Schizosaccharomyces pombe: one gene and its partner. Each later gene encodes a partner of the first gene's protein in a complex. Each region holds a gene or a part of one and is shown in the gene's direction. Other genes may lie near its edges.

Region 1 (15,690 bases):
AGAAGTTTAGTGTGGAAGACAACGATAACGAAACTGATTTCAGTTTTATATTTCTTTCTTTTGTCCACTTGTCTGGCGGTTGTTCGTATATAACCGCCGGTTTTAAGTTCATGATTTGCTTCAGAGTTGAATCACTTGTTACCATATTTGATCCTACCTTGTTATAATGATCTTGATGGAAATGCTATATATGTTTAAAATTTATATTAAAAATTATATATTAACGAATAAAATGCAGGATACATATGAATATGCCAGATTAAATAATAGTATACATTGATGATAAAACTCTAAAGAGTTTTTGCTTCATTAATTATGGATTCCTTTATGATTACTTTCGATGAAAGTTCATTAGTTTTGGCACTGCTTGATACAGTAGGTTCCTCCTTTTTTTGTAGAAACGAGTTTAATCTAGCCATAGCTTGTTTTTTGATGTGAAATGGTTCTCGTGATTTGCTAAGCGAATCTTTTAGTCTATAAATCGCTTCCTTATTTCGTAACATAGGGCACGTGTCCCTTCCACTAAAGTGAGGTGTTCCACATAAAAAGCATATTTCTAATGGCACAATGCTTAATGGACAATGTGCTGGTAAATGTTTAATACCACAACATCGACAACGTACATTATCAGACAAAGAAGACAGTAGAAAAAAGTTGTCAAGAACTGCTTTAGACAAAGATCTTCCAACCAGTTGATGATTTTTTTCAATTATTTCGTAAGGTGGGTAAAAAACTGGATCGTCTATCAGTTGCATTTCCGAATCATTAATATACTCTGAAGAAGTTAATTTGTTAGCCACCTCTAAATTGATGGTGGATAGAGTTTTGTTAAATTCATCTTCTTTGGGAGTTGTTGCTAATAGAGATTTAGCTAAGATAGAGTCAAAATGAACATCTGCAGACTTTTGAGAATCAGATTCATCATTTAAGTTTTCGATATTTACGCTCGAATCATATTTGAGTTTTTGCTTATCAGATAAAGTATCTGTTATCGAACTGATTGTCTCAGTTTCTATGGGAAATGGGGAGCCTGGTGATGATCGATCATTAACGGTATAATCAGTATCGTCGCTATTATCATAAATATTTAAATCTTCGCCATAATGGATTTTGTGGTGTGCACGAAGTCTCCTGTTGGAAGTTGTTTCGTCTGTTTTTTCTAGCATTGCATCCTTCTCTCGTTGCTTAAGTATTACTGACCAGACATCTTCTTCATCAACAAGAACATTTTCTTTGACTTCATAATGATTGGAAGATATATGTTTGTTATCCCAAACACGAAAAAAGCCAAACTTATTGCTTTTTATATCTGATTCATCAGTTGAAGTATCTTCTTGTTTCTCAGCTTCTGAGATAAGTAATTCTACCGAATATTCATTATACTTAATAGACGGTTCATCACCAGCCTCTTCAAATAATGCACGAGCCCCATGCCGCAAGATACTTTCTAAATCTTTTTCTGAATTATGATTTTGATCCAATGACTCAACAATTAAGTGGTCCAATACAAGCTTCTTTTGAGCGTTTTGAATGATTTTTTCCTCTACAGAATCTCGAGTAGTTAACACAAAGACAAGTACCTTTTTTTTTTGCCCATATCGATGAGCCCTTGCAATCGCTTGCATGTCTTGATGAGGATTGAAATCAGGATCTAGTATAATAACAGTGTCCGCACTAGCTAAATTGATGCCAACTCCACCAGCACGGGTAGAAAGTAAGAAACATGACAACTCAGAATTAGGAGCATTAAAAGAGTCGATTGCTGACTGCCTTTCCATTTCCGATGAGGCGCCATCAAAACGTGCATAGGCTATGTTTTTATATTCAAACCAATCTTCAAGGATATCGAGTTGCTGGATAAATTGAGAAAACAATAATATACGATGCCCGCGAGTTATCAATTTCGGTACCAATAAGCGTAATATTAAAAACTTACAGCTGGCTTCTTCCAGTGAACGCATAGCAAGTTCATACGGGAGATTACGGTCTTCAATATCTGGTGAATAAATGTACGGATGAGCTAATGTTTTTCGAAGTTGCATCAAAATGTTGTTCAATGAAGTAGTCCTTTGCCCTCCAGAAGAACTGGTATTAGCATAGCCGGTAATATTACGTAGCAAAGACAAATTTTTTGAAAGAATCGATTTGTATAAACCTTTTTGAACAGGTGTCATGGACAAAGGAATAATTACTTCAACCTTCGTAGGAAAGTTATCCAGTACTTCGCTTTTCACTCTTCTTAAAAAAAACGGCTTTAAGATTTGATGAAGTTCAGTCACCTTTTCCGTATCAATAATGCTGTATCTTTTTTCAAGCTCAGCAGCATTTATTTTCATGGGATTTAAAAACTGCAGTAAATTAAAAAGTTCCCGAACATTATTTTGCAATGGCGTCCCGGTTAAAAGAAGCTTAAAGTCACTTTTAACCGAAGAGAGGTAATAAAAGAGGGAAGATTGATCATTTTTTAGTCGTTGTCCTTCGTCAACAATTAAAACTTTCCACTGAAATTTTCGGAGCAATGAAATTTCACGTTCAACATTTGAAGCACTTATAACGAGGACATGAGTGCTTACATGTTTTGGGTCTTTTTGATTGATTAGACGATAATCACGGACTAAACTTCTGTTTTTTTCAGAGCCCACGAGTACATTAATTTGTAGAAAGGGAGCCCATTTTTTAAGCTCTCGTTCCCAATTTGCAACAGTGGCATGAGGGACAATAACCAGTACCGGGAAGCATTTATGTCTGTAAAATAAAACACTAATGAAAGATATTACTTGTACAGTTTTACCTAAACCCATTTCATCAGCTAAAATACAAGGATGATGTGTGTACCATCGTAAATAAAGCCAGTTCAGCCCTTTCAGTTGATATGGCATTAGTGTACCACCTTTGATAAAACTTGGTTGAGAGTGCCACTCAAGATTAGTAAATGGTAAATCAATATTTATCGAAGCTGTAGGGGCTTTTTCGATCCATAGACATTCCAACAAGTCCGAATACCCTTTTAACCACGCTTTCCAGCGATTTCTATCTGTTTCTTTAGGAGGTGGTTCCCAATTTGACATATAATAAGTTAAACCACGCCAAGAAACAAAGGCGAATGTAACTTCAGAAATTGCCTTCAGTTGATGTTTTTTTGTTTTATATTTTGCCGTTCGAGCATTCTTTCCACTTCTATATTGAACATCCCAAACCTTATCGATTATTGTATACGATACTGGAATAATGGGCTTAGTTGCGTCGTATGAGGCATTCTCCAAACCATCGAAATTTTTCTTTTTAGCTAATGAAATACCGGCTAGCCATGAAGCAGAACACCAAAAACAGTGAAGGTAAGACTTACCTTTGCTTCGAACGAAATACTCTCTAGACCAAAAGCTCAAGTCCGATGTACTAACAAAATTATTTGAAAGGGTAGCTTTTGAAGGATATAAACTGTTTAGAGTTCTCCAAGCAATTATCTCTTCAATATCACAAGGATGCATAGAACATTCATTACAAACAAGTTTTTTTATAAAATGAGTAATTGTTCTCTGAATAGACAAAGGATTACTGTCCAGATAAAAAAAATATTCGACACGCCTACATCGAAAACACCGAAACCTTATAGACTTGCAGTAATTGACTAAAATTGACAGAGATTCCCTATCAGCAAGGGATGGGGGGATAACTAGATCCTGTCCAGAAGAAACGCCTGAAACAAACCCGGTATTACACAAAACGTCCTTAGAGTTTTTGGAACATAAAGGACATATAAAACCATTTTGCTGAGAGTAATTACGCGTTTCTTTATTTAAAGAAGGGAGTGGAGAACAGTCATAGTGGTATACATTTGAGCAATGATCACAGTAAACAAAATTTTTACCAGAGGAACGATGTTCACGTCCATGACATTTGACACATACACAGACGTGTAAAAATTTGATAAAATCAAATCCGTCAGAGTAAAGAAGTGAGAAATAAGGAGCTTTATTATCGTTTTCTGTGGACTCAATTTCCGAAGAACTTAGATCGGAGCTACCAAAGTCGGACGTGTCATTGAAAGATAAATGCGACAACGATAACTCATTATGCTCTTTTCTATTAACCTTCTTATTTGTATCAGATGAAGATGAAGTTGCACTGTCAGAAGCCGTTTCATCACTGACAAATGAAGGATTAAGTGCGCAGTGAAATTCCTTTCCGAACTTAAATTTCTTGGTACGTGTTGAGTCCCTTAAGACTTTACTACCATTAGACTTCAGTAAATAATCATTTTTCTCTTCCTCATCCTTATCGGTTGAAGTCATATACCCATGGTACCTCTTTCGAGATTTGTGTTTTAACCATACTCTTAAACAAGCTTTTCCATTTTTATATTTATCAAGTTCATCTTTTTTTATCAATGCTTCAACACCCGCCAAGAATTTAACACTCAGTGTGCTGTCATTTTCGTGCAGTATTTTTTGAACGGTGGTTTCAGACGCGTCATAATAAGGTAGTAAAACATCAAGCGGTTCACGACGTACTACTATTTTACATAAAGAATCATCTTCTTTTGGCATGCTTTGAGATGAATATCTAAATATTCTTGGTAAATACTGTGTATTTGGAGTTGTCCTTAAATTTCACTACGTAACGCAAAGAGAAAGAATTACCAGTAGTAAACGGTTATAAACAATAGCTATTATACAGTACATTAATAGTAACAAACAAGTTTTAATCTTTTAGATGTCATTTTAAGCACGTACAAACCTTTGATGACTTCTTTGACCCTGATGGTGGGTTTTAGTAAAATGGTTATTAGCATTCGAATGAGTACGCGCGCGTTGATGTTCATTTGTCTGAGGAAGAGATTGCTGCTGTTGTGTAAGTTGAGTGTTAGAAGAAGCTGTAGTCTGGGGAGCTGAAAAAGCTACTTGGTTTGTTAAATTTACAGCAGGCATCATAGGGACGAATGCAGCAGCATTCATAGCATTCATTCCTTTAGGAGCCATATAGGTATTTGCGGATACAATGTAGGGCGGTGGTGGACATCCTAAGTTAAAGACATTATATTTGGCTAAAATTCGGAATATTAGACTTCGTATTCAACAAAAGTATTATAAAGTAATAACTTACGAGGAAACGCATAAGCATAAGGAAGGTCTAGCGAACCATTCCCCTTTTTTAAAAATCCAGAGGATGCCCTTTCTTCAAGTTGTTTTTGGGCTTCTTCTTGAGCTACTTTCGTATAGTAGTCCTGAACATTTTGTATATGGGCTCTTCCAGCATTGTGTGCTTTTCTAACTGATTGGCTATCATGAGTGAGCCAAACTTGGCAGTAATCACACAAATCTAAGCATTAATTAGTTTTCAATTATTGTTATTCATCGTATCATACATCTTGGCATTTTAGCGTGTTTGGCTGTTGTTGAGTCTTGTAATAAATGTGAGCTGTGTTGAAACGCTAAAATGATTTAAAAAGAAATTAATGTCAATTAGCAACAACTATACAAAGAACGTTCATAGTTAAACATTGAATGTTAAATTACTGTTTATCTATGCTTTACAAAGTGTTGAAACGAAGCTCTCGAATTTTCAACTACTTTAAAATCCAACGCCTTGAAGAGTCGGGAAGGTGCAATCATTTAATATTTTAATATAATTAAGTTACTGCTGTACTTTCAATATCTCTTCACGATCAGGGCTTTTAAGTACCAGACATTCTTGGTTATGCATTAAGTGTTGCATTTGAGAGAACAATTGTAATTTGGAGTATAAGTTATTTATTGAATTTCATTTATTGTCATGCTCATTTCAATGAAATAAACTTCTCATGAGAAAGCCAGATATAATCCATGTAAGGTGAATACTCACACCTTAACCAAAAATTTTTTGCCTTTACTGAAACTATTAAATTTCCATTTGATAGTTAAATACTTGAAGTGTTTTATGTTTTATTTGCTTTTAAACTGTTAAATTGATTGGGAATATTGTGAAGTAAACTACTGGCCGGCTGTTAAGTGTTAAAGAAAACTGTGCTTGCCATTATTACATTGCTTGTCAATATATGGACATGACTGTTTCAAACCAAAAAGCAGAAAGTGATGATGGTTCAGACATCGACGATGCGGCCTTGTTACAAAAAATTAATTCTTTACCGATTGACCAGAGTATCACAAATTCGGTGAGCTTGGAAAAGCATGATTTTCAAGGAAGTGATGACCATGACTCCTCTACGGATCTTTCCGATAGTACTTTGGAAGATGTGGAAGGAAGTGAATGGGCAGACGTATGGATTGAAAAGTTTTTTTTTAATACTTTTTACTAATAAAATTTAGGTGAGCAGGGGTAGATACTTCGGGTCAGATCCCTCAGAAAGTATAGTTTGCCATAATTGTAAAGGGAATGGTCACATATCTAAAGATTGTCCTCATGTTCTGGTATGCATTTTGATCGGACATTGTTTTTTTAATAGTGTTACTAACTGTATTACAGTGTACGACTTGTGGAGCAATTGATGATCATATTTCCGTAAGATGCCCCTGGACTAAGAAGTGCATGAATTGTGGACTACTGGGTCATATAGCTGCGCGATGTTCGGAGCCGCGAAAAAGAGGACCTAGAGTTTGTCGGACTTGTCATACCGATACTCATACTAGTTCGACGTGTCCTTTAATTTGGAGGTATTATGTCGAAAAAGAACATCCTGTTCGCATTGATGTTTCTGAGGTTCGAAAGTTTTGTTATAATTGTGCATCTGATGAACATTTTGGAGACGACTGTACTCTTCCATCTAGATCAAATTATCCTGAAAGCACTGCATTTTGTGAAGCGAACTGTCCTTCTGGAAATGATGCATCTAACAAGGAGTTTTTTGAAACCCGTCGTAAAGAGTTTCAATTGGAGAGGCGAGAGCAGAATCGAAATCAAAAATCGTCGAAACAACGGCCTTTTCACAAACCAGGAAATTCTCTAGCATCTAGGCTGGGATCTAAGCCAAAAAGCTTTAAAAGAAAACATAGCCCACCTTCTGAGGAGAATGGCAATTTATCCTTTCATTCTTCAGATGGAAGAAAATTTACCAAAACTTCAAAAAAAAATCGTAAACGAAAATGGTAATTCATGTGCTGGTATTATTCATCGCATGGTGTATCGCTCTGCTCACATTGCATTGCACTCATTGATAATACTATCTTACTAAAATTTATTGGCAAAATCTAAAATATATGTACATTAATTTTATACACTCTCATTTGCTATGTTCGCAAAATTTGTAATGTTATTGACCTCCATCATCAAAATTAAATACAAGCTATGATAACGGAGTAAACCATAGTTAGAAAGCAAAACAAAAAAAAACAACCAAAATCGAAGATAACAAGGCAAAACAAACAAATTTGCTTTAGGGTAAATAATGACAAACCGCCCACCAGAGTCTAAAAGAATGTGACACGATAATTAACGCAAGTTTAAATAAGTGTTACATCTGACTCTTACAAAATAGCTGTTTTTAAATTAATCAAAAAAATTTATGAAAGGCTTTCATGCAAAATAAATTGGTGAAGAGCCTTACCACCAGGGACAAATGGATACACATGTTCCTTTTGGGCAACCAAAACTTCCATAAGCACAGGACCTTTAGTTGACAAAAACTCCTTCATTTTTTTAGCCAAATCTTCTCTCTTTTCTACACGTAGTGCTTTGATGCCCATAGCGTCAGCCAACTTAACGAAGTTGGGATTCTTTTGATGAGTATGAGAATAGCGTTTCTCATAAAACAAGTTTTGCCATTGAGTGACCATGCCTTGCTCTTCATTATTTAGGATAAGAATTTTAACTGGGATATCAAATTGACGGACGGTAGCAAGTTCCATACCAGTCATTGAAAATGAAGCATCACCATCAATATCTATAACAATATCTTTAGGTGCAGCAACGCTAGCACCTATGGCAGCTGGGAGACCAAATCCCATAGTACCGAGACCACCGGAGGTTACCAAAGAACTAGGTTTTGTCCAACGATAGAATGTAGCGGCCCACATTTGATGTGCACCGACACCGGTGGTAATAGTGACTTTGTCCTTTATGTCAGAAGTTTGTTTGTCAAGTTCTTGAATGACTTCTTGAGGCTTTACCAATTCACCAGGAGCGCTACGAGTGAAAGTGAAAGGGAAGCGTTCCTTCCATGTTTGAATTTGAGATAACCAGTCAAATCGGGAAGGAATTTTAATATTTTTAGTAGCAGAATCTAAAAGCTTTAGAGATTCGTATACATCGCCCTCTATTGCTTCAGTAGGTTGTACGACCTTACCGATATTTTTGGGTGAAATATCAAAGTGAATAATACCGCCACGCTCTTCGGCAGCAGCAAGACGTGCTTGAGGAGCAAACAAACTTACGTTACCGGTGACACGGTCGTCAAAGCGAACACCAAGAGCAAGGATAAGATCGGCTTCCTGCATGGCCATATTAGCGTATCCACTACCATGCATACCGAGCATATGCAAACTAAGGTCAGAACGTTCATCTACAGCACCAAGTCCAAGCAAAGAAGTAGTAACAGGAATTTGCAGCCTTTCGCTAAACTTGCGTAACAAAGTGGGGCATTCGGGATTAGCTAAAACACCATGCCCACAGAAAATCACAGGCTTCTTGGCTAATTTTAGTAAATTGGCAACACGATCGATCTTGGCAGTAACGTTCTTGGAGCCCTCTTCTAAGACTTCCTTCATTCTGCGATTCATTGATGGTACAGAAGACAGTATAGGAATGGGCTCCTTCAAAACGCTAGCAGTGACATCTTTGGGAAGGTCAACCAATACAGGGCCAGGGCGTCCAGAAGTAGCTATCTCAAAAGCTTCGTCTATACGACGGGGAAGATCAGCAACATCTTTGACCATTACATTCCATTTAGTACATGAACGAGAAATACCAACCATGTCAGCTTCTTGAAATGCATCACTACCAATTGCGCTGGTTGCTACTTGACCAGAGAATACAACTAGGGGAGTACCGTCGGCCAATGCATCAGCAATCGGGGTAATCACATTCGTAGCACCGGGTCCAGAAGTAACCAATACAACGCCGGGTTTTTTAGTAACGCGGGAATAAGCTTGGGCTGCATGTCCAGCAGCTTGCTCGTGTCTTGGCAAGATAAATTCAAAATGAGGAGATCTATAAATTGCATCGAAGACAGGCAAGATAGCACCACCTGGATAACCAAATACATGCTTAACATTATGCTTGAGCATCATATCATGGAAAATTTCACCCCCAGTCTTTCCAACAAACGAGCTGTCATATTTTATAGGACTAGCCGTAGTCACTGTAGAGGTGCTTTTGGTCGAATTTGCCCGAACGACACCGAATGCATTTTTTAATTTTTTAATTCTCAAATTATTACTAAAGCCGGTGCCATACCTCCGCACAGCTGAGCAACTATTTAAATTTAAAAATCTCTTTTGAAGGGCAATTTCTCGTCCATAAGACGAGAAAGCCGCCCTCGTATGCAATCTTCTAAGGGGAGCCAGCACAGTCATTATAAATAACTTTTAACCCTCAATTCCTTTCTAGAAAGAGCTATCTTTCAAGTTGCAAAAGATCGGTATGCTGAGCGGTATGAGAAGTGAGCAGGTTCATTTTTGCCTAAAAACATTGGTTGTTCACCACCACAAAAAAGATCAGATTTGTTAACGATAAGTACTGTACCCCGGAGATTAAATATACCGATGCATAATACTATACCCTTTGAAGTCGTGTTATTATTCTTTAAAAAGTTCAGATGATGTAGGAATACAATTTATCTATTTATCCATGTCTCCTTAATTTTTTAAACATTAGTAAATGCTGGAAAACGTCAAATAAATTTTTCTTGATCCTAAATTATAAGTTTCCTATCGATTCAGCTTAGAAAATCGTCAGAATTATCTTTGAGCATAATCTGTTTAACACGTAAGAGATCTTAGATACTTTCGCTTTTTTAAACATTAGTGAGCCTCTTATTAGAGGAATTGCAATGTTTATTGTACATCGACGGTTTTTTCAAAATGAAAAAGCTTTTACGCCTGCAGGAAAACATGAAAAAGTTGCCGACGGAAACAAACATGAGACATTAGCTACTTCAGAATACCCGAAAGTCTGTGCATCAAATGACTTGTACAAAATACTCCAAATATCTGCTCCTAAGGTTGGCAATTTTACAATCCATGATGCGCCAGTTGTTGGACTAATTGACTCTATTTTGGAATATTATTTGTATATTAGTGTCAAAGTTCGAAAGGCATGGATTGCTGGTTATGGAAGTCAGCCCCAAAACTTAATATGCTTTGATTGGGAACGTTTTACGGGTATTCTAGATCAGCAGAGTCTAAATAGCCCACCGTTAGCTGGATTTGTTAAGCCAGATCCAACATCAGCAGAGCCTGGCTTTTTACTTTTGTGGCCTGCTTCGGGCGACCTTTTCTACTGGGAAAGAACTTCTTTGATGAACGTTGAGGTTTCTGCTCCCGAATTTCCTGGTTTTCTTCATTACAGGATTCAACTAAAACGATATGAAAGCTGTAAAAATTTGGTTAGTGCTGAGCCTGCTGGCTTTTTCCTTACTCTGAGTTCAGGTCGGTTGCTTCATCTGAATTTAAAAGATAGCGATGGCAATTCCTCTATTCAGGTTCGAATCCTATTTCCTGGATTGCACATCCCCAACTGCTTGCTGTCGTTATACAACAGTATCTTTGCATTTACTTCAGGAAGAGTTATTCCAATACGTTGTGGTTCAATAAAAGGACCTGGTGAGAGATTAGTTTATTCTATGCATTCTGGAAGCACATTGCGAATTTGGGAAATATTCGGGACTGGTGATCACCACTTGTTACGTGGTTTTGACATTTATGATATAATTTTAGATAGTATTCAGGAATCCTTTTCCTACGTAAATCGATTTCTAATCCTTGATTTTTCTGTTTCAACCTCGGATCCTTATACGTTAGCTTGTTTGGTTTCCTGGCGTGATAATGCTTCATTATTCAATTATGCTGCAATCATTATTTCTTTCAACCATCAGATGATACCTCATGTTTCACAATTCTGCCATGTACGCTCATATCTTTCTGCAATTCTTCCATCAGTGTGTCGAATATTTTTACCAAGTCCAGGTACAGTTGTTTTTTGCGTCTTCGATGTCACTTTTGCTATGTTTCATAAAGTGCGAGGGAAAGAAGGCACTTTTTATGTCGAAGAAAACCTGGTTGTGAACAACCTAACTTCCAAATCTCGGGTTTTGGATTTTGGCATGGAAGATGCGATATATGAAAAATCTACGCACACCTTACTAAAAACTCCAGCATTGATCTTGTTAACAGAAGGGCATGGTATAATCCGAATTGAATCTTCTGCTAGCTACCTGAAAACCAGCTTTAGTGCAACCACCTATTTACGAAGTCGTCTCTCCCAGTTTGCATCGCAAAGCCCTTTGTTCCGTGTAAGTTGTTAATTCTTTCGTATCTAACATATAGGAACAATTTTTGTTAAATTTTGACTTTACATACAACCTCTCTGAAAGCGAAGTCTATAATACAGTCTTTAATCTTTGTGATGAACTTTATACGAGTAAGATAATTTTTTCATGATATATTACTAATTGCAATCAGCGCCATGTAAAAAAAATATGTCTGTATTAGAAACACTACATTCTCAGCAACGTGACTTGATGGAAATAGTTCTTGTTGCCTTCAAATACCTACATTTATCTCCTTCTAATAGACTTCAATTATGGCTAAAAGTTGCCTATTGCAGTGCTTTGGCAGACCTATATGAATTATTGATGTGTAATGAAAAAATGTCTAACTTGCTTCGACGAGTATTGAAAATAATGTCTTCAAATGATAATATTGATGAACTTTTTTTGAAAAAGTGCCTGAATATAAATTTGTTATTACAGCATTTAAGCTCGGAATATTCTCAAATATCTGGCCAAGATGCTAGCAACGCACAAAAAAGAATTGAAGTAATAGTAAATGTTAATAACGTTTATGGGGTATGTTTCTTATAAAATAACGAGGTTTACTAATATTAGACTATCTTTGGAAATGAGCTTGCTTATAGGCAAGAAAAAATATCAAAATTTACTGATCCATCCTCTGTGATTAGAAGCGACCTTTGGACAGTTGAAGTTGATCACTTAGATTTACTACGAAAACAGATCGAAGATTCGATATCATTGCATCGCGATGTACGTGACTCGAAAGATGCACACATATTAAAAGTCAGTAACAAGCTTCGGAAGCAGATTTTGCATCTGGTGGAACAAAATTGCCTTTTGATCTTTGATTTGCACAATGGAACAGATGATACCATAGTAAAATCGCATAATTTTCAAAAATTTGAAGAAGAATTTGGCAATTCACGAAAAGAATGGTTACAATATTTAGGTAAGCTGTTTCTCACTTTCTTGTTTCCGCTAACAAAGAAGCTTCTGTCGGATATTTGGAAAAGGCAATCGACTTGGCGGAAAAAGTTAAAGACTTTCAGACAATGGTAATTTTGCTGGATTGTCTAGATCCAAAGGATCCTACCATTAAGCTTCAAAAGCAAAAAGCATGCTTAAATAAATACAAAGAAGAATTCGCAGATGTAATTTTTTTTTATTTGGTTGATACAGAGCAGTATGCGTCTTTGCTTCATGATTTCTTGGAGTATCAATCACTTTTAATATCTTTTTTTGAAGCCAATGATTTATTGAATCTTTTGTGGATATTTGAAGCTCAAAATGGAAATTATGGACGAGCCTCCGAAATTCTTTTCCGTGATTGTGAACCAGAAGAAAACAGGATTATCGGTAAAATTTCGCAGTTAGCTCTAGCAAAGCTCTACTCATGGACTAATAGAATTGAAGGTGAAAATATCATATTGTCAAATGAGACTGAGGTGATTGAAAATCATTTAGCCATTTTGCTTATTCAAGAGCAATATGCTGAAATGCTTTCATCACTTGTGGATATTACAGAAGACGAGGGAGAAGCTGTCGAAGCAATAGTAACTTCCAATTGTGTAAATCTATCAGAAAACTCTATCAGAGCCTGGCTCGTGTCTAGTGCTGTTGAGCGATTAATTCAAAACGAATACACTACGCTTTGTGAGATGGTAGATTTCTTTTCTTCTTTTTCATTACGGGAATGTTCATTCAAAGAAGTTGATTTGGCCTTAGAGTTATTAGAAAGAGCTACAATCACTAAGGACGTGTATTTTTACTTAAAAGATCTCGTATATCGCCGTTTTCTATTACAGGTGAACTGGGCAGAAATCATCGATGCGCATGAAGATTTAGAATCTTCATTTTTTCCAATGGTAAAGGAAATTATGTTAGAATCAGACTTTTTAATATGGTTACAACATATGGAACACAATATTCACGACGAAAGTAAACATTACTTGAAATCGGAAAAAAATTTTTTGCAAAGTGTATATTCTTCACTTTCTGAGTCGCAAGTGGAAGATTATCAAATGGAGCTTTTTCGTGAAAAGCAAATTTTCTCAGTACTATGTAAAGATAGAGAGTTATACATTCTGATTCCGAAACTTCTGGACGTAGCAACAAAACAATGAAATGAAATTTTGCTATATATTACTTTACATTTCCTCAGTAATCGATAAACACCTGTTTAAACCTAGTACTACTTATGTTTGTATAATCTATCGTATAGCCTCAGCTCCGACAACTCCGTTTTTACGATGGTAGATGCTAGATAATCACTGGTTAGAATATTTACGGCTTAAAATAATTAAATTTTTTTATTATAGATTCTTGATTTATTATGATGATTGCGCCTTCGGGGCTTTTTCCCTGTCCTGGATAGCCTCACCCTTACGTTGGAAATTAAGCTAAGGCCTAGTGTGTTGCATCCAAGTACACCTTACAACTAACGTCCACTAAAACACTCAAACCACATAATCATTTGTTAGTCGAAAGAAAGCCTGTAACTTCTATTAAATTATAGTAATTGGTTTTCTAAATTTTGTTGTTTTTGGTCGGCTACTGAATCGCAATTGGACTTCAATCTCTGTGGTGAATGCAGTGAAAACAAACTGAGATTTGTGTGGCATTTGTTAGTGAGGCTACAAATTGACTACATAAAAACTGCATAGTCCTTGCAATAAAAAAAATTTTATCTGTTCGGTCAATTCCTTGTGACAGGGTTATTTATCATGAATTCCCAAACGAGCGTAGTAGGGGTTCACTATCGCGTGGGTCGTAAAATAGGTGAGGGATCGTTTGGTGTTATTTTCGATGGGATGAATCTTTTGAATAACCAACTTATTGCTATAAAATTTGTATGTTCTTTGTTAGGATGAGTATATGGACAATACTAACAATGGACGTTAGGAACCCAAAAAGTCGGAGGCACCTCAGCTCCGTGATGAATACAGAACTTATAAATTACTAGTTGGAAATGGTATGTTTTTATTTTGCTACCCAAAACATATGGTCAAGACTTTGGTACTAACCGTATTTGCAAATAGCTGGCATTCCTAATGTTTACTATTTCGGGCAGGAAGGACTACATAATATCCTTGTTATTGATTTACTGGGACCTAGTTTAGAGGACCTATTTGAATGGTGCGGTCGTCGATTCAGTGTCAAAACGGTGGCTATGACGGCGAAACAGATGGTAAGTTTCCTAAGTTGTTCCTATAAGGTTTTCAATTTGTTTAAATTTTCTCTGACATTTCAAAGCTTTCCAGAGTTCAGACGATTCATGAAAAAAACCTTGTTTATAGAGACATCAAACCCGATAATTTCCTAATAGGCCGACCTTCCTCTCGAAATGCAAACATGGTATATATGGTTGATTTTGGTATGGCCAAATATTACCGTGATCCCAAAACCAAGCAACATATACCATATAGTGAACGTAAAAGCCTCTCGGGGACTGCGAGATATATGAGTATAAACACGCATCTTGGACGTGAACAATCCCGTCGCGATGACTTAGAATCGTTGGGACACGTCTTTATGTATTTTTTGAGGGGAAGTTTACCTTGGCAAGGATTGAAAGCTGCCAACAATAAGCACAAATACGAAAAGATTAGTGAAAAGAAGCAATCTACCTCCATTAGTGAGCTTTGTGCTGGATTTCCTAATGAATTCAGTAAATACATGACTTATGTGCGTTCGTTAGAATTTGATGAAGAACCGGATTATGCGTTTTTACAAGAGTTATTTGATGATGTACTTCGAGCAAATGGTGATACGAATGATGGGGTTTATGATTGGATGTTATTGAATGACGGTAAAGGTTGGGAGTCAAGCTCTTCTCATTTTTCTGTTGTTGCTATGAAGCGACGAAAGAATTACCTTGGCTTAAATGTTGTTCAAAATGATGATTCCAGAAAAAAGAACAGTACTTTGCAAACACAGAACATGCGATTTAAATCCTCATATGGGGTGAGAGGTCCTAGAAATTACTCATCGTTCGATGCGTTGCCGAGCAAAAACGCTCCATTGGTGCGTCAAGAACAGTCTGCTTCTAAAAAAACAATTTATGCTCATTCTTCTAGAGGTTACGATAGGGTTCGACCTATGTATGTATCTCAGCCCTCGAATAATGCAGTCGGAGTAAATCATCCTAACGATAATTCTGATTCGGAAGCAAAAGGAGGATTTTTTGATATGATATGCTGTCGTTGCTTTTCTTAGTTTCGAAGCTTCAACTATTGTTAGAGTCACTC
Region 2 (16,667 bases), on another chromosome or scaffold:
TCTTACGTTCATCATCTAAACGGTTTTCAGCCAAGTCAGCGTCAGGAGGACTATAAACATACCATGGTAGATTTAGCAACTGAGTTTTCGCATCGATTAAAAGCAGCGCTTAGCAATCCTAGGGAGATGTCTCAACAAATTGGATTGCTAAGTTATATTGATATTGAAGACTACCTTTTAAAATCTTGTGAAAAAACTAGAGGAAATACGGCTGAAATATCTAATTTGGGGTATTTTAGCTTTCCCGCCGATTCGTCGGTAAAAATCAAGAATATGGCATTTGCACAACCTTGTTCCAGTCTTTCTGCACCTTTTGTACTAAATGTTATAACAGTAGCAGATGGTCCATGTTCGTTTTCCCTCTCTATTTTTGATGATGGGAACACCGAACAAACTCATGAGCTGGCTATAAAAATAAGGGATAAGTTTCTAAGTATTCTCGAAAAGGTTTCTATGAATTCATAGCCGTTCCCAGTATAAAATATCATCGACTAATAGGTTTGTTTATTTTTTTACCTATTTTTATCCATTCTTCTCCTATTTATAGATTTCAAATTGAGAACAGGTTATTCGAAAGAATTTTTGAATTATGAAAAGTTTGAAGCTTTATACGCACTTTTTATTAAGGTAATGCTGGTTAATTCAAAGATTTCGAACTTTTCTTGAATAGACACCTATATTATTCACTTTCGAAAGTCTTCTTATTAACAACAAAGAGCATGTAGTAAAAATTTTTTAAATACCATAAATACTTTTGAGTAGCTGAACACTATAAGTATTGTTATCCACAGGTTGAGTGAGTACGAGAATAATACCAAGACAACTACACTCCTTTGCCAACCGCGACTTAGATTTTCACTTCCACCATTAGCGGATTAAACTCAACCATTCGCTTGTGGTCTAAGGGGATGTTAAAAAGACCTAAAAGAGATCCTTTGAAAGATTGTGAATACGTTTTTAAAGGCGACGGGCTACGGCGAGTCCCTCCCTACTATTATGAATACATTACCTTCGCGAAGCTGAGGTGGTACGGTAAAACTCTTTTAGAGGTTTTCAATACCGAATTTAGGGACAGGGAATCTGGTTATTATGAAAAGGCAATACGCAATGGTCAAGTTAAGGTAAACAATCAGATTGGTAACGTTGACACATTGATTGAAAATGGATACATAGTTTCCCATCATGCGCATCGTCATGAACCACCAGTTTCTGACCAACCAGTAGGCATAGTCCATGAAGATGAATCTTATGTTGTTATTGACAAACCTGCTGGTGTTCCAGTGCATCCTACAGGTCGCTATAATCACAATACTGTTTTACATATTTTGATGAAAGAAAACAAATGTTCTCTGTTATATCCTTGCAATAGATTAGACAGATTAACTTCTGGTCTGATGTTCTTTAGTAAGAGTCCTAAAGCCGCTGAAGAAATGCGCGTCCATATGATTAGCAAAAGCCTGAAAAAAGAATATGTTGCTAGAGTAATAGGAGAGTTCCCCAATTCTGGTGAAGTAATTTGCGATGCTCCGTTACTTACTGTTGCACCTACTTTAGGTTTAAATAGGATCCATCCGGATGGAAAGGAGGCCAGCACCGTTTTCAAAAGAATTGCGTTTGATGGACACACATCCCTCGTGCTTTGTAAACCACTGACCGGAAGGACTCACCAATTACGGGTTCATCTACAGTATCTTGGTTATCCTATTGCTAATGATCCTATATACGCGAATAAAAGGGTATGGGGTCCTTCTTTAGGGAAGAATGGAGAAGGCAGCAATGAATCTGTAATTATGCGACTTTCCGAAATCGGTAAAACTGAAACTGCTTCTCCACTCTTGCAATATGAGTGGTATACAAATGAAACAGAGGCAGAGGCCAAGGCCCGTAGAGACAAACGCCTCGGGGAGCTATTAACTGGTAAACACTGTTCCGAGTGCGGTACTCCACTTTATAGTGATCCATCCCCAGAGGAATTAGGAATCTGGTTACATGCTTTAAAATATGAGAGCAAAGATTGGTCTTATAAGACACAGCTTCCAAAATGGGCTCTTGACGTTTGCTGCCGAGATCCTAATGCGCTGCCTATAGAATAAAGTAAAAGTTTTGAGATTATATACACAAAAAATTTTGAGGGTTTAGGGTTACTCAAAAAAATCGAATTTTTAAATCGTCGATAAAATCCAATAGGTGATTGATATATGTATACAAAATAGCTAAAGTAGTTTTTTTCTGACGCTTTGTTAACTTTTTATCGTTTTTTTTTTTGTGAGAATAGAGATCAAAAAGTTAATGAGACAAGTAACTAAACTCTTCATGTTTGGGAGTTTCTAGATACTGTTCTATGTGCTGTCATTAGACATTACAGAAGAATCTGGTTTTCGAACTCTTTCAATTAAAGAAGAAACGGTATTGGCGTCATTTGAACGTACCATAAGCTGTGGGTGCTAAAGTGTTTGCATTTCCATCTTTATGTGCATCATAAGTTCAACCATGACTTAACTTCTAAAAAGACGTTCATTCTAATACATATTTGTTACACTTATGATTATACGACTCACAAAAGAAAAATCTATTTCAAGTAATTGATGGGCGTTCATGGTTTGCTACCTATCATTAGAAAGGTCGCGTCTGAGGGTATAAGATGGCTTCAACCAGAATTTTTTTCTAAATATTATCCTGTTCTAGCAGTAGATGGAAATCTTTTATTATACAGATTTTTTCGGTCTCCAAATACGCCATTGCACACCAATTATCAACATGTTTTATGGGCCTTAAAACTATCAAGGTATTGTCGCAAACTAAAAACTTCGCCAATTGTGGTATTTGACAACCTAAAACCTAATGATTTCAAAGCAGAGGAACACGAGAAACGATCTTTGATAAGTTCTCAAATAGTCAATCAGCGACAAGTTGTTCAGGAACAGATGTATTTTTTATGCAATTTAAAAAATTGTTTAATAGATAATAATTTTCCGACTGGTAACTTTTACTACGAGATCGGTCCATTATTATCTCAAATTGGAAAGTTGTTATTTGATTTGCGTTCTCTAAATGAACGTGATAATCCTTTTCATGCACAAAATAATGCCGAAAATCTAGAGAATGCAACTTTTGTAAGGTTAATCGTTGACAAATTAAATGACAGGGAAAAAACTTTGATGATCCAAGAAAAGAAAAATCATCTCATACATTCTTTACGACAACTACTTGCGTTTTCAGAAATCAATGACTTCCCATCTGAGATACGATCTTACCTCGAATTTATCTTGTCTAATTTGGATCTGGAATGCTTGACTTTATGTCTTAAAATCATAAAGGGTATTCTTACCTTAGACGAACTTCAAAAAGCAATAAAATTGAAACAAACTGAATTAGATAAATTAGAAAGAAGGCTATATCGTCCTTCTCCTCAAAACATTTTTGAAATTTTTGAAATATTAAAAATATTAGGGATACCTGCTTCATTCTCTCCTATCGGAGTAGAAGCTGAAGCATTTGCCTCAGCTATTTCTCAAAACAACCTGGCATATGCAGTTGCTACTCAAGATACTGATGTCTTACTGTTGGGTTCTTCAATGATATCTAACTTTCTTGACTTAAATGATAATTTTCATCTACCGTTGCAAATTATGGATCCTAGAAAAATTGCTCAAGAATTGAACTTAACATTTGATGGATTTCAAGATTACTGTTTGATGTGCGGAACAGATTTCACATCTCGAATCCCAAAGATTGGGCCTGTAAGAGCCCTGAAATTGATTAGATACTACGGTAACGCTTTCGATGTTTTAAAAGCTTTAAACGTTGAGGAAAAATACATTATCCCAACAGACTATATCAAGAAGTTTTTGACTGCAAAAAAGCTATTTACCGATTTGCCTTCTAACAATGAGCTATTCAGTTTTATTCACAATATCCCTAAAGAATTTCTACATCTTTCTGATTCGACGTATTTAGATTTAGAGAAGCAGGTGCTTCGTATTTTTAATGTGCAAATTGAAGAATTAGATGCAAAAACACCTTGGTACTATCACTACGAATTGGAAAAAGATGTCAAAAGCACGTACGAGTATTGAATCATTCAATCATTAAAATTCATTCGTGAAGCGAAGCGGCATTAACCAAATGATTATATAACACCAATGTACAGAAACATACCAACCTGACACTTTCTTAACAGCAACGAAATTATAAATTGATAAAAGGGGAAATATTTTGAGGCGAAAAAGAAAGAATAAATAATGATAATTGTCGAAAACCATTGGTTTTTACAGACCATAGTCCATCAACATAAACCAACAACACACAATTACCTATGAGCCCATCTGAGTCGCAATATGACTTCAAGCTGCTTATGTTAGTCAATGAATAAAACGACCAATTAAAACTTACAGTAAATATGATTACAAACAAAGATATCAAGATAATTATTATCCAGGTAATAGAGTTCATCTTCCTATCCGCGCTGGATTTACCAAATATATCAAGCATATCAAAAATGACTTTACAGCGTCTATTGAGAACATTTGTACGGGGTCCAATTTCCAAGTATTCGCGAAATGCAGTATATAAAGGTAGAAGTAAGGGTTCAGAGTCCCATAAAAAGTCTGGAGTGTCTAATATGTTACTAATAAGGTTGACATCCACTCGTAACTGAAACAAATGACCGCTCATGCGAACAACCTCTACCCTTGAAAGACCTAAATGACCGTATAAAGCAAGCTTTTTTGGATAGAATAATGCAGAGTTCATTGTGACGTCTGTTCGTAACTCAAACCTAGAAAGTTTGACGGATTGAGCCAAAGCATGAGACATTGCCAGCTTCATTTTGTTGTCCGCTGACGGGATATGAATCATATCATTATATATCCTCGGCCTTTTTGTATTCGGCGCGTAATGAAAATGTAAATCTTCAATTTCACATTCCTCTTCTGCTAAAGGCTTAACCATTAAAGAATTATCACCACCAAAAGTTAAATCGGCAAGAATATCCTTTTCTTGACTCAAAGAAAAATTCCAAAAAACCACGACACCATAAGAGAAGACGAAAACTAAATGGCGTTAATAGGAAATTAGCTAAACAGTTAGGATTAACTTACTTTCAGATATTCGATACAATTGAGATATTATATGAGAATCAAAATTTTCGTTATCCGGTTTGTCAGAGTCCAAATGCTTTTGATTGTGATTAGACGCACTAGAGGGCATATCGTCCGGTGCTGGGCCACTAGAAACTCGGCAAGATTCAGACCTGCCATACACTAAAGGTAAATGATATACAGCGTATAGAACCTCATCATATTTCTTTGCGCGGACTTTGTGATAATGTTTTAAAAAATGTTTAACCTTAGGCAACTGGAAAGCTTCACAGACACAATATGCTGTAGCACGAGGAAATCCTAACTCTTCACGTTTGTCACGAGGTAAGTTTTCTAATTTGATTAAATTATAGGCATCGCTAGGAGTAAGCAAGTCCTCATAGTTGCTTTCTTCTTCGTTAAATGAATTGACAGCATGGTTCTCGGGTAGTAGTACAAGTTTCTGAGATGTTTTAGTAGTTCTTTGAGGAATATGAGCAGCAGCATGTCGGTTTTTTAAGAACCATCCTAATGGATGATCGATTTTCCTAGCATTCCGCCGTCTTTGAAAAAGGCCTTGAGCTGCAGATATTCGATGATCTCCAAAACGTGGTGGGCTACCATGCTGAGGCGTTATTCGTGTACTTTCTGAATTTATTGGGGGAGGAATATGCACAGGAGTTGATAATCGAGTATTAATTGTCCGTTTAGGGGGTAAATTTAGTTTATCCTTAGTAGACATCGAATGTGTACTTCGAGCGTTGGTTTACTGGTCATGCCAATATAAGTCTATGTCTCTGATACGCAGTATAATACTTTAATCAAGTATTATATGCAACTAAGTAAAATTACAATTATTTTGAAAGATAAAATGGTTGTGCTTAGTAGTGTATGAGGAAAGTAAACTTGATTAACTATGGAGCTTATTTCAAATTATCAGAGAGCAAGTGAATAAAGTAGGGTATTAATTACTAACCAATATTAAAAGAGAGACACAAATTGGTGTCTTTAGACAATAAAGATTTCTATGTAAAATATGCAGTGTCAATAATACGACTAAGCAGTTCAATTTCCTGAATTTTTACTCAGTTTTTGTTAAAAAATAAATTTCAAATGAATAAAACGAGCACATGTAGGTTGGATACTGCCATTAAAGTACGACTACAAATAAAATATTAAGCAATTTGAGAAACCTTATGTGGAACGTTAATCAAATGTTAAATAAGCAAAATTCATCTAAAAACAACAAATGGATATTATTTAGACATTAGTTTCATTTAATGTTATTACATTGTATAAATTAAACGTACTATTCTTTAACTGTCTAATCAAGCATGGATAGATGATCAAAGATATCATTACTGTATGTTTACTATGAACACTTGATCTAGGTGGATTAATTTATTTGGCGTGCCTAATTTGGAACGAAATTAATATCATCTTCAACATCCCACCGATTTACTTATACTAAATAAAAGAAGTCTTTGAACTAAATTAATAAAATTTTTTTCAATGTATTTTACAAGCACAATCGTTCCAAATATCATGTCAAAAGATACGATTGCGTATCCATACCTTTGGCCAAAGTCATACTAGCTCATTTTCCCAGCACGTAAAACGCGCCAAATATCTATATATTAGAATACCATACGAAAAACGGTAAAGTTTATACTACATTAGAAGGAACTTTAAGTTGGTTTTATTTAAATTAAAGATTGATTTTATTGCTGCTAAATAAGGAATTTCACATCTTTGGGGAATTGGTTAATTCATCATGGAAAGAGCTGAAAATGCTAGAATTATTCAAAAGCCTATGACTCGTAGGACTGTGGACTATGGATCAGGGCTATCAAAGTATATTGTCAATCGACATTTGCGTAGCAATCGCTATCACATACATGTACCGAGACCAAATCCGAATCAAATAATTAACTTGTATCCCCCTTATGAATACAAGTATAATAACACATCTTCCTTGTGCACCAAATATATTCATACGTCTGCAAATAAAGCTAGACATGTTATTAACGTTGTGCGCTGGACTCCAGATGGTCGAAGACTGTTGACAGGTTCTTCAACTGGTGAATTTACTCTGTGGAATGGTCTCACATTTAATTTTGAGTTAATTAATCAGAGTCATGATTATGCCGTTCGTTGTGCTGAATGGAGTACAGATGGGCGCTGGCTTATTTCCGGCGATGGAGGAGGCATGGTAAAGTATTTTGAACCGAATTTAAACAATGTCAAAATTGTTCAAGCTCATGAAATGGAAGTTAGAGATGTTGCCTTTTCACCCAATGATAGCAAATTTGTCACAGCGAGTGATGATGGTTCATTAAAAGTATGGAATTTCCATATGAGTACTGAAGAGCTGAAACTAACTGGTCATGGATGGGATGTAAAAACCGTCGATTGGCATCCTTCAAAAGGTCTCTTGGCTTCTGGTTCTAAAGACAATTTAGTGAAATTTTGGGATCCAAGAACCGGTACATGTATTGCGACTTTGCATGGTCATAAAAACACAATAATGCAAGCATCTTTTCAGAAAAATTTTGGATCAAATTATTTGGCTACAGTCTCTAGGGATAGCACTTGTCGAGTATTTGACTTACGTGCCATGAAGGACGTTCGAGTTTTACGTGGTCATGAAAAGGACGTAAACTGCGTAACATGGCATCCTCTTTATCCTAATTTGCTTACTACTGGTGGCTCCGATGGAAGTGTCAATCATTATTCACTTGATGAACCTCCATTACTTTCTCAGCAAAAGTATCATGAAAAGCATCCAAATGTTACTCTTTCCGCGTCTTCTTATTTACTATACCCTACTGCTGAAATTCCATTTGCTCATGATTTGGGTATTTGGAGTATGCAATATCATCCTCTTGGACATCTTTTATGTACAGGTTCAAATGATAAAACTACACGTTTTTGGTCAAGATCTCGCCCAGATGACAAGGAATCCACCATGGATCGCCATCATTTAGGTGAAGAACAGTCTGAGGCCATGCTAAGTCAGAGAAAAGCAGCGATCGAAGAAGACGATAATTATGAACCTGACGAAAACCCTCTCACCGAAACATTAGCAAATGCCCATAATCCCCAATTTTCTGGAGTACTTAATCTTCCGGGTTTAGGGACTATGCCCTCCTTTCCATCGCCTTATCAACATGGACAACCTCAAATTCCCGGTATGCTTCATGCATCTTTGAGCAATTCATACGCTGAGCCGTCAACTCAAAACTCTTTTATCCCAGGTCTCACCTCAAAGTCACAAGATGGGTATCCTCAAAACTATCGATAATACATTTCTTTGTTATTTGAAAAACATATTTACTTGGCATTAATTAGATTTAAAAAAAAAAAAATTCACACCGCAGCTCACTGGATTCATACTAAAAATTGGGTTTGGCAAAGCAAAACCTACACTAATTTTTTTTTTAATGATAACTAAGCAACAATTTACATTATACCATTCATACTCGACAAGCACTTCTATATCTCGCTCTCCATACAAGATGTTCCCCAAATTGAATTACCGAGTGTCAACGATTTTCGTAAATAAATCGTTAATAGTTAGGTATGCTACATTTAGTAAGTTGTTCACCACCAAATTTTCAAAGATCTTATGTGATTAATAATTGTGGTTCAATTAGTCATATATTGATTTTTATAAGAATTCTACAAGATAGGTATAGAAAACCATTCTATCCATGTCTTAGAGATGGGTAAAAAAAGCGTGTCATTTAACCGCAATAATTATAAAAAGCGTAAAAATGAGAGAACTGAACCACTTCCAAGGAGGATTTTTAAAAACGATAAACCGAGTAAATTTAAATCTAAAAGAAAGGAAAAGGATAAAAATTCAGACGCTTATGACGAAATGCTTCTGAATAACAATTTTACGCTTCTGGATCAAGAAGAACCCATGGTTGAAATTGGAAGTAAAAAATCACGTAATGATAATGATTCAGAAGGAATACGTGATAAAGGTGGAGTAGAAATTTCAAACAAAAACGATCCATATATTCAATTTGGAAAAGCCGATCCATTAGAGCCGCTGGAAAAACCTGATTTACCAGAGGAAGCAATAAAACGTGGTGAACCTACCATTCTTTTAGGTATACCAAAAAGAGAAGGTAGAAAAACTAACCCTGTACACGACAAGGCTGTCGAAAATAATTCTGATTTTATCAAGTTCGATTGGAACAGCGATGAAGACGAGGATAGTGTTAGTAATGATAAAAGCAAGAATAATGAGTCCTTAAAAAAGTCTTCTAAAAATGAGATCCCTGGCTTTATGCGTCAACGAGGCCGATTTTTTCATGAAGCAAATGAAAAATCGGATTCTAACCGTAAACGAAAACGCCAAGCGTATGAGCTTGATTCTCAATCATGCCCTTGGCACCGTCAGTATAAGGTAGAGCGAGAAGTCTCTAGAATTTTTCACCAAGACATTCTTCACTTTATTGACTATATTACTCCGACTCCTGAAGAGCATGCGGTTCGGAAGACGCTTGTTTCTCGTATAAATCAAGCTGTCTTGCAAAAATGGCCAGATGTATCACTTTATGTTTTTGGAAGTTTTGAAACCAAATTATATTTACCTACTTCAGACCTTGATCTTGTAATAATATCACCTGAGCATCATTATCGGGGTACAAAAAAAGATATGTTTGTTCTTGCTCATCATCTAAAGAAGCTAAAACTTGCTTCTGAAGTCCAGGTCATTACTACTGCTAACGTTCCAATCATCAAGTTCGTTGATCCGTTAACCAAAGTTCATGTTGACATATCTTTTAATCAACCTGGAGGTTTGAAGACATGTCTGGTAGTGAACGGTTTCATGAAAAAATACCCTGCTCTTAGGCCGTTAGTAATAATTATTAAACATTTTTTGAACATGCGAGCGCTAAACGAAGTCTTCTTGGGCGGATTAAGTAGCTATGCGATTGTTTGTTTGGTTGTTTCTTTTCTTCAATTACACCCTAGACTTAGTACAGGTTCTATGCGTGAAGAAGACAATTTTGGTGTTTTGCTGCTAGAGTTTTTGGAGTTGTACGGAAAACAATTTTATTATGATGCTGTCGGTATCGCTGTTCACAATGGTGGTTTTTATTTTTCAAAAAAGAAGATGGGTTGGCTGAAGCCAAACCAGCCTTATTTGCTTTCAATCCAAGATCCGGTAGATTTCCAAAATGATGTTTCTAAATCTAGTCGTGGATTATTACGCGTAAAGGCTACATTTGCAAATGGCTTTGATTTGCTAACTAGTAAATTATACGCACTCGCATCTCGTATAGAAAGAGAGGGTGTCAATCGAGTCAAAGATTTCCCTAGTATCCTAAGTACCATATTATCAGTTGATGAAGGGGTTCGTCAACATCGTGAGCATATGTTAAAATGTTATAAGAATAATCCAGTTCCTTTAGAACCTTTAGTGGAAGTGGATGCTTTAGCAAGTATTGATGTCGACAAGCTTCCATTGCAAGACGTTGGTTTGCAATATGTTGAGGATGAATCCGATTCAGACGAAACAGATGCTGCAAAGGATGATTTGTTTAAAGTAAATGAATCAATTGAAACCAACGGCCATGAAAATTTTCAGAAGCAAGCTTTGACATCTACGGGAGAGCAGTCCTCCTCTAATTCTCGAGCTAATCCCAGTAAATTATTTAACATAAGCAGTGACGATTCGGAAGACGAAGTACCTATTATTGAGGACACCACTGCTTCAGATGAAGAATCTCGAGCGAAAAAAATACGCAAACGTTTTTAGTTAATTTACATGTAAAATACCAGGTTATATAGAGGGATAAAAGGTTTTATTATCAATTATGATTATAGTTTGATAATTGTATTAATAAATTATCTTTATAGATTATACTTACGATTTAGCCAGTAAACTCGAATACCAGTAATAAATTAATCAACACCTTAAACTCACTATGGATCTGTAGTAATTTTGCATAAACGATGAAACTAGTTAAGAAATTACGATTCGGCGAGAGGAAATTTGATGATAGAATGGTAAGTAAATATGCCATAAATAAGAAGCACGAATCCCAAGAATTGAAGTAAATGGAATGACTCCATCCCCATTGCCATAGCAATAATCCAAATTCCGAATGTTCGAGCAATATCTAAAAGAGATCGGGTAGTAGCTGAGTGAAGTTTTGTAATGGCTAAGCCGGAAACGTTGAAAAAACTAAGGTTGGAACGTTAGTAAATACGAATGGTCAATTTTTTAACATGAACTTACGCAATAGATACCAAAATAACTCCAGAAATAACATAGAGTGCAGGGACTTCATTAAATCGAGATATAACGTGTGAATAGTCAAACCACCCGTGGTATCCAGCAGTAGTAGAACCGATAAAATAGTAAGAAATAATCATTCCTAAAAGGACAAAAAATACGCCATAAGTACCTTCATAAGCAACTAATTCTGAAGGGTCGACTTGAATAAACGAGAGTATGTATTCTTCAATTGTGAATTGTGTTGCTAAAAAAAACTGGCCGATTAAAACTGCAGTAATTCCTAAAATGGGATTTGAACCAATAGAAGAAGAGGATCCAGAATAACCAACAATTGCAACTCCTAAAACTACGAAACTCAGTGAGAGCCATTGCAATTGACCGATTGTTCTTTTTAGTAAAGTCGTAGCGAACAAGGCAACGAAAATAATAAGCGAACCCCTAGTCATTTGATAAATGCTGGCACTAGTATAAAGAAGGCCAACATTCATCAATGTTGAACCACATATATCCATGATTGCTGGAAGAGCCATGAAAACTTTGTGCTTTAAAGGTAGGTGGTCAAGAGATTCGTAGCCAGGACCTTGTGAGTGGCGTTTATACAACACATAAAACCATAAACATGCTTCCCCAAGAAAAATGTTGAGGCTTTGAAGAACTGCCATACTCTTGATGGGTTCACTTTCTTCTGCTATACTGTCTTGATATCTATTTGAGATGATTTGTTAGCAAACAATACTATTGGATAAATAAAATAGCTACTGACTTCGACAAGACGGTGTTAGCTACACCGGAAGTAAGCATAATAATTGGCAAAAGCATTTTGTAAATGTCGAGAGTATCAAATGCCCGTCAAATATGGGCAAGGAAAAGTGATGAGTTGTATGTGCAGTATAATATCATAAAATATCCGTTTAAGATGTTCAGAAATTTACAATATATTGTAAAAGCAAGATGAATGAGATGTACGCTAATATGTATGCGTTAGCGCTTAGAGTATAACAATTGCAGCTGTAATCTATCACTTGTCGGTTAGCGAAACTTTAGTTAATGCATTACGTAAATCGTTAAGTTTGGTTCCTAGAACATAATGAATTCATCAGGGAGATCCAGCTTCGCGAGTATAAATGATAACAAACAAAATAGTTTTGTCTTTTCTATAATACTTCTTTTAGAGTATAATTAAATTATAATCTCAATTTTAATTTATTCAAAGTATATTACAATCATCCTTCATTGTCTTGGTCAATCAACTGAAAGAAATAATTTCCTGAAAATTGTAAATCCAGTATAAAGCAGCTTATATAGCCTTCTCGTTTATAAGATGAAAATTATGAAAAGTGTTTCAATGATGATGCTACCTATATAATCAATACTACTTTACTGAAGTTGCATTTAAACTTTCAAACATAGCTGAAAATAAAATGGTTAAAAACGCATACTTTAAAGCAAATTCATAACTTTTCTTTGGTTCATTAATAATTACAACTGTTAAGCATTGAAAAGATATCTACTGGAAAAGTCTTAAGAGACAGTTGTTTTTTTTAAACTCATTTATTTGATTAATTTATTTTAATTTTCAATCTTGAACTCATTTTCTAAAATTTTCTGGGTTTCTGACAACTTAATAAAAGGAAGTTGTAATTTTACAAATACCTCATTTCTAGTTTATAATTACAGTAAATGAGTGCAAAAGAGTTCATCAACACTTAAAAGAAATTTAATTAATATACTAATTTTTAAAAATATAAATTCAATTTTAACTTTTTGCAACTAAAGTCGATTTTTTAATATACTTCATTGCTTTCTTCACTATAAATAGAATCCAAAATTTGAAGATTACAAAATAGCTGTTAAAAACTTAACAAAGGCAATTATTACAAATACTGAATGTATAAAGCTTGGGCCCCAATTGCAATTACCTAATAATATGTATACGAAATATAGCACAATCCTAAAAGTTCAATTTCAGTATATAAGATTTCATTTAAACTATAAATCCTCCTGTCATAAAACTAAATTTATTTTGAGTAAACACCTTTTATCATTAGCACTGACACTGGTTTTACTGTGATATGGTGGTGTAAGCTATATCCTTACCCAACTTACGATCAACGTCTCTAAATTAACTCATAAGGTTAATTTAAATGACACATTTAGGAATCCTTGAATATAAATTTGAAATTTTCAAAAAGGAATTCTTTAAGAAACCTAAGTTCTGTTAATTACCAAGCCATGGATAATGTTCAGGAACACGATCCTGATACTCAAGAGCATAATAATGAAACTCAGAACCATAAGCAAGAGGACCATTCTAATTCCTACCAGACAAGAACTATTCCTTTCATAGAACCCCTTTCAAGGGAATACCAGAAACGAATTATTCTATGTCAAACAGGTAATCCTTATAAAGACTTGTAACGTTTTAAACATAATTGCAAGCTTTTATTCCGCAAATTCTAAGTTGCTTACTTTGTATTCAGTTAATGGCCCGTGTCCTATAATTGCTTTGTCCAATGCATTAATATTAAAGTCAAACGTAGATCGACCATTTGAATTGCCGAAGAAAAGATACATCACACCCGATGAACTGACAGAATACTTGGTGGAGTTTGCTAAAGCATACGGCTTATGCAAAAATCAGCAAAGTCTTCAGGATAAACTGACATCTATGCATTTCGGTCAGCAATTGAATCCTTGTCTCTATGATATTGAAAAGTTTGAGTATGGGCATGAAATCTTTTGTACATTTGGAGTTCGATTAGTTCATGGTTGGATTCTTTCAGATGATATGGGTTTGAGCGACGAAGATTTAAGCTACCTTCGAAAGCTTGAATATTATGAAAAAGTTGCAGATACATTTGCCGAACGTCGTTCTCTATTAGAGATGCAGGAGCCACTAACTGAACAGCAGCAAGATTTTTTAAATAATTGTAAGTTTTTACTTATCTGTCGTGCATACTTTCTTCAGTTTACTGCTTGAGAGACTTTAGCCTTATAATTTGCTATATGTTTTTTACAAACTAACACTTCAAATAGCTACATGTGTTGACAAAGTTATGGAAAATCGTTATACAATGCAATTTTTGACGAATGCTGGTCTTAAAAAGATTCTTGAGCTTGTAGGTCCAGGGGAAATAGTCGTGGTTTTTCGTTCCAGTCATTTCAGTACCATGTATTCAAATCCAGATTCATTCGCACAATTTACTTTGGTCACAGATAGTGGATACGCAAGGACAGGTGAAGATGTTGTGTGGGAAACCTTTGACTCGCAAACAGTTGAGACAGGCAATGGTGAACTTTGTGCAGCTAACTTCATTCCTGCTGTTTATGTTTTGAATCAAAGAAAGGAGGAGAAAAAAAAACGCGCTAAAGATGATGAACAATATGCCAAGAGACTAGCGAAAGAAGAAGAAGAAAGAGGAAAAAAGGAGACTCCTAAAAAGGCTTCCAACACTCCTCGTCGTAACAAATCCAATACCCAGAAATCACGTAAGCAAAGCGAAAACTGTTTAATTTCGTGATGAAACATGATACTTAGAGGATCTGTCTTTTATATTTTTATTTTTTGTATTCGCTCTAGTGAAAGCGTATGCATTTACTACATTTATTCCATAGTTTCTTTTACGTCAACAATTATTAATTAATATTGAAATCTCCTAAACTTTTTTGAAAGATTGAAAAGTAAACAAGCATTACATATATCCGTAAGACTAAAGATACTATTGCTACCAAAAAGAATTTTCTTCACCTTGTTAAATGCTCATGGTTCGTAAATAAGTAAGCCTCGACCATACGGTAGAACCCAACCGGTACCATTCATTGCTTTTACCCAAGACCCATCTCGACATAAATATTTACCATCGTCAACTCGCATTTCCTTGAATGGTAACGAACAGTCGGTTTTCCAAAAACGTAAAACATAATCATCACCAGCACTGCTAAAAATGCTTCCATTCTCATTTTTCATCAAAGCTAAATTTCTTTCAAGCAAATTAGAATGACCCATATAAGACATAATTGACTGGGGTCTTTTTTTACTTTGCAGAAATCGGCAATCATACAAAGAAATTTTAGATTCCAAACCACTAACCAAAAGCTTCGGTTGGGAAAAATCTAAGTTTTGCATTGAACAAATGCTAGATCCATGATAGAATCGCTGTACACATTCTTTCTTCGTCCGAAGATCATACACTAATACACTTTTATTTCGACATCCAGCAATGACTAAGTTGTCACCCAAATATTTAAGACTGAATACGTCTCCTTTAGATTGCAAACTTTGCGTTAATTTTCCCTCTCGATTAATTATTGCAATTTTTGAGGTGCCACCAACTGCAAAGCCCATCTCTCCAATACTTTCTGCACATAAAGGGGTTTTCAAAAGTTTAAGAGATCCCCAACGGTAATTATTGGATTCACCCAATAGCTGGTTATAAGTAGATATATGAAATTGTCCCTCATTCTGCAGAGAAGGAGATGTAGACCAGAAAATTTGCATTGCGTTACATACCAAAGAAGAAATGGGATTATTAGAGAGGCCTATCCTTGACAAGGAAAAATCCTGAATTGAACCTTCTGAAGTATATTTTTCATTTGCAACTCCAGATTTGTCTTCAGGGGTAAGACAACACCCCAATATGTCGCCGTTTTTGGAAGTTAAAATTATGGTATTAACTTCGCGAAGCCAACCTATTTTTTGCAGCTCAGTCCCAACTGGAAGCTGCCGAAGATTTATTTTTTTTAGGTTTTTTGCACATAAATAATCTCTGTCATCATTACAAGAATAAGGATATTGTGAAAACTGTCTATCAAAAAGATAAGTTGAAAAGTTGAAAACGGGATTGCCTCCTTTTCCTTTGGTTCGTTCTTTACTGATATTATTAAAACGCTTCCCCCTTTTCAACCTCTCCTTAGTATAAATATTAGAGGACGGAGTAGACTGCCCCGAGCTAATTATTCGAAAGTAACGCTTTTTTTCAGAATTGTAATAATAACCGGGAATATGAAATGGTAGTCCGCTCATAACCCAGGGATTGATGGTAAGCAAAAGAAATTAAAAACAAAAAAGGTTTTGTTAAAATGTTGTCGTTATACCATTTCTCTGTTGTATGTAGCCAAATACTTAGGTATTCAAAAGACAACACAACTATATAAATTAATAAAAAAAAGCACCAGTGTGCGGCAAACGGTATAATAAGGTAACACGATAAAATTCCTTATTTGTTAACTTATAGTTAATAGCTTAAATGCCCCCTATAAGGAAAAAATGCCGTAAAAGACAAAATTACTAGTGCTTGCAGCTAAGCTTATTGTCGCTCATAAGCTAG

The links.
Region 2: air1 (region 1) and cid14 share a complex: the UniProt entries of both Schizosaccharomyces pombe proteins name them as parts of the TRAMP complex.

The regions. Positions count from the first base shown.
Region 1 is NC_003423.3:970,925-986,614, reverse strand, and holds air1 (TRAMP complex zinc knuckle subunit Air1), read left to right. Parts: upstream 1-5,846; 5' UTR 5,847-6,034; coding exon 6,035-6,256; intron 6,257-6,305; coding exon 6,306-6,407; intron 6,408-6,462; coding exon 6,463-7,086; 3' UTR 7,087-7,257; downstream 7,258-15,690. Other genes in the region: SHREC complex ATP-dependent chromatin remodeller Mit1, read right to left, coding at 291-4,547; U1 snRNP-associated protein Usp103, read right to left, coding at 4,722-5,044, 5,104-5,319, 5,366-5,375; ilv1 (acetolactate synthase catalytic subunit), read right to left, coding at 7,497-9,506; nucleoporin, WD repeat Nup131, read left to right, coding at 9,983-11,443, 11,478-11,571, 11,613-11,998, 12,038-12,392, 12,434-13,566; serine/threonine protein kinase (CK1 family) Cki2, read left to right, coding at 14,167-14,292, 14,345-14,414, 14,482-14,630, 14,696-15,658. UniProt on the Schizosaccharomyces pombe protein: Component of the TRAMP (TRF4) and TRAMP5 complexes which have a poly(A) RNA polymerase activity and are involved in a post-transcriptional quality control mechanism limiting inappropriate expression of genetic information.
Region 2 is NC_003424.3:313,122-329,788, forward strand, and holds cid14 (TRAMP complex poly(A) polymerase subunit Cid14), read left to right. Parts: upstream 1-8,683; 5' UTR 8,684-8,802; coding exon 8,803-10,857; 3' UTR 10,858-11,008; downstream 11,009-16,667. Other genes in the region: SPOM_SPAC18B11.03C (N-acetyltransferase), read left to right, coding at 1-465; pus9 (tRNA pseudouridylate synthase), read left to right, coding at 909-2,093; SPOM_SPAC12G12.16C (XP-G family Fen1-like nuclease), read left to right, coding at 2,586-4,076; sif3 (Sad1-interacting factor 3), read right to left, coding at 4,310-4,348, 4,393-5,051, 5,100-5,820; mRNA cleavage and polyadenylation specificity factor complex, WD repeat protein Pfs2, read left to right, coding at 6,853-8,382; gms2 (NST UDP-galactose transporter), read right to left, coding at 11,073-11,286, 11,341-12,045, 12,104-12,159; cysteine-type deubiquitinase Miy1, read left to right, coding at 13,573-13,735, 13,821-14,270, 14,377-14,861; WD-repeat family protein wdr21, read right to left, coding at 15,101-16,363. UniProt on the Schizosaccharomyces pombe protein: Required for 3' polyadenylation of the 5.8S and 25S rRNAs as a prelude to their degradation in the exosome. Involved in the nucleolar organization to ensure faithful chromosome segregation during mitosis.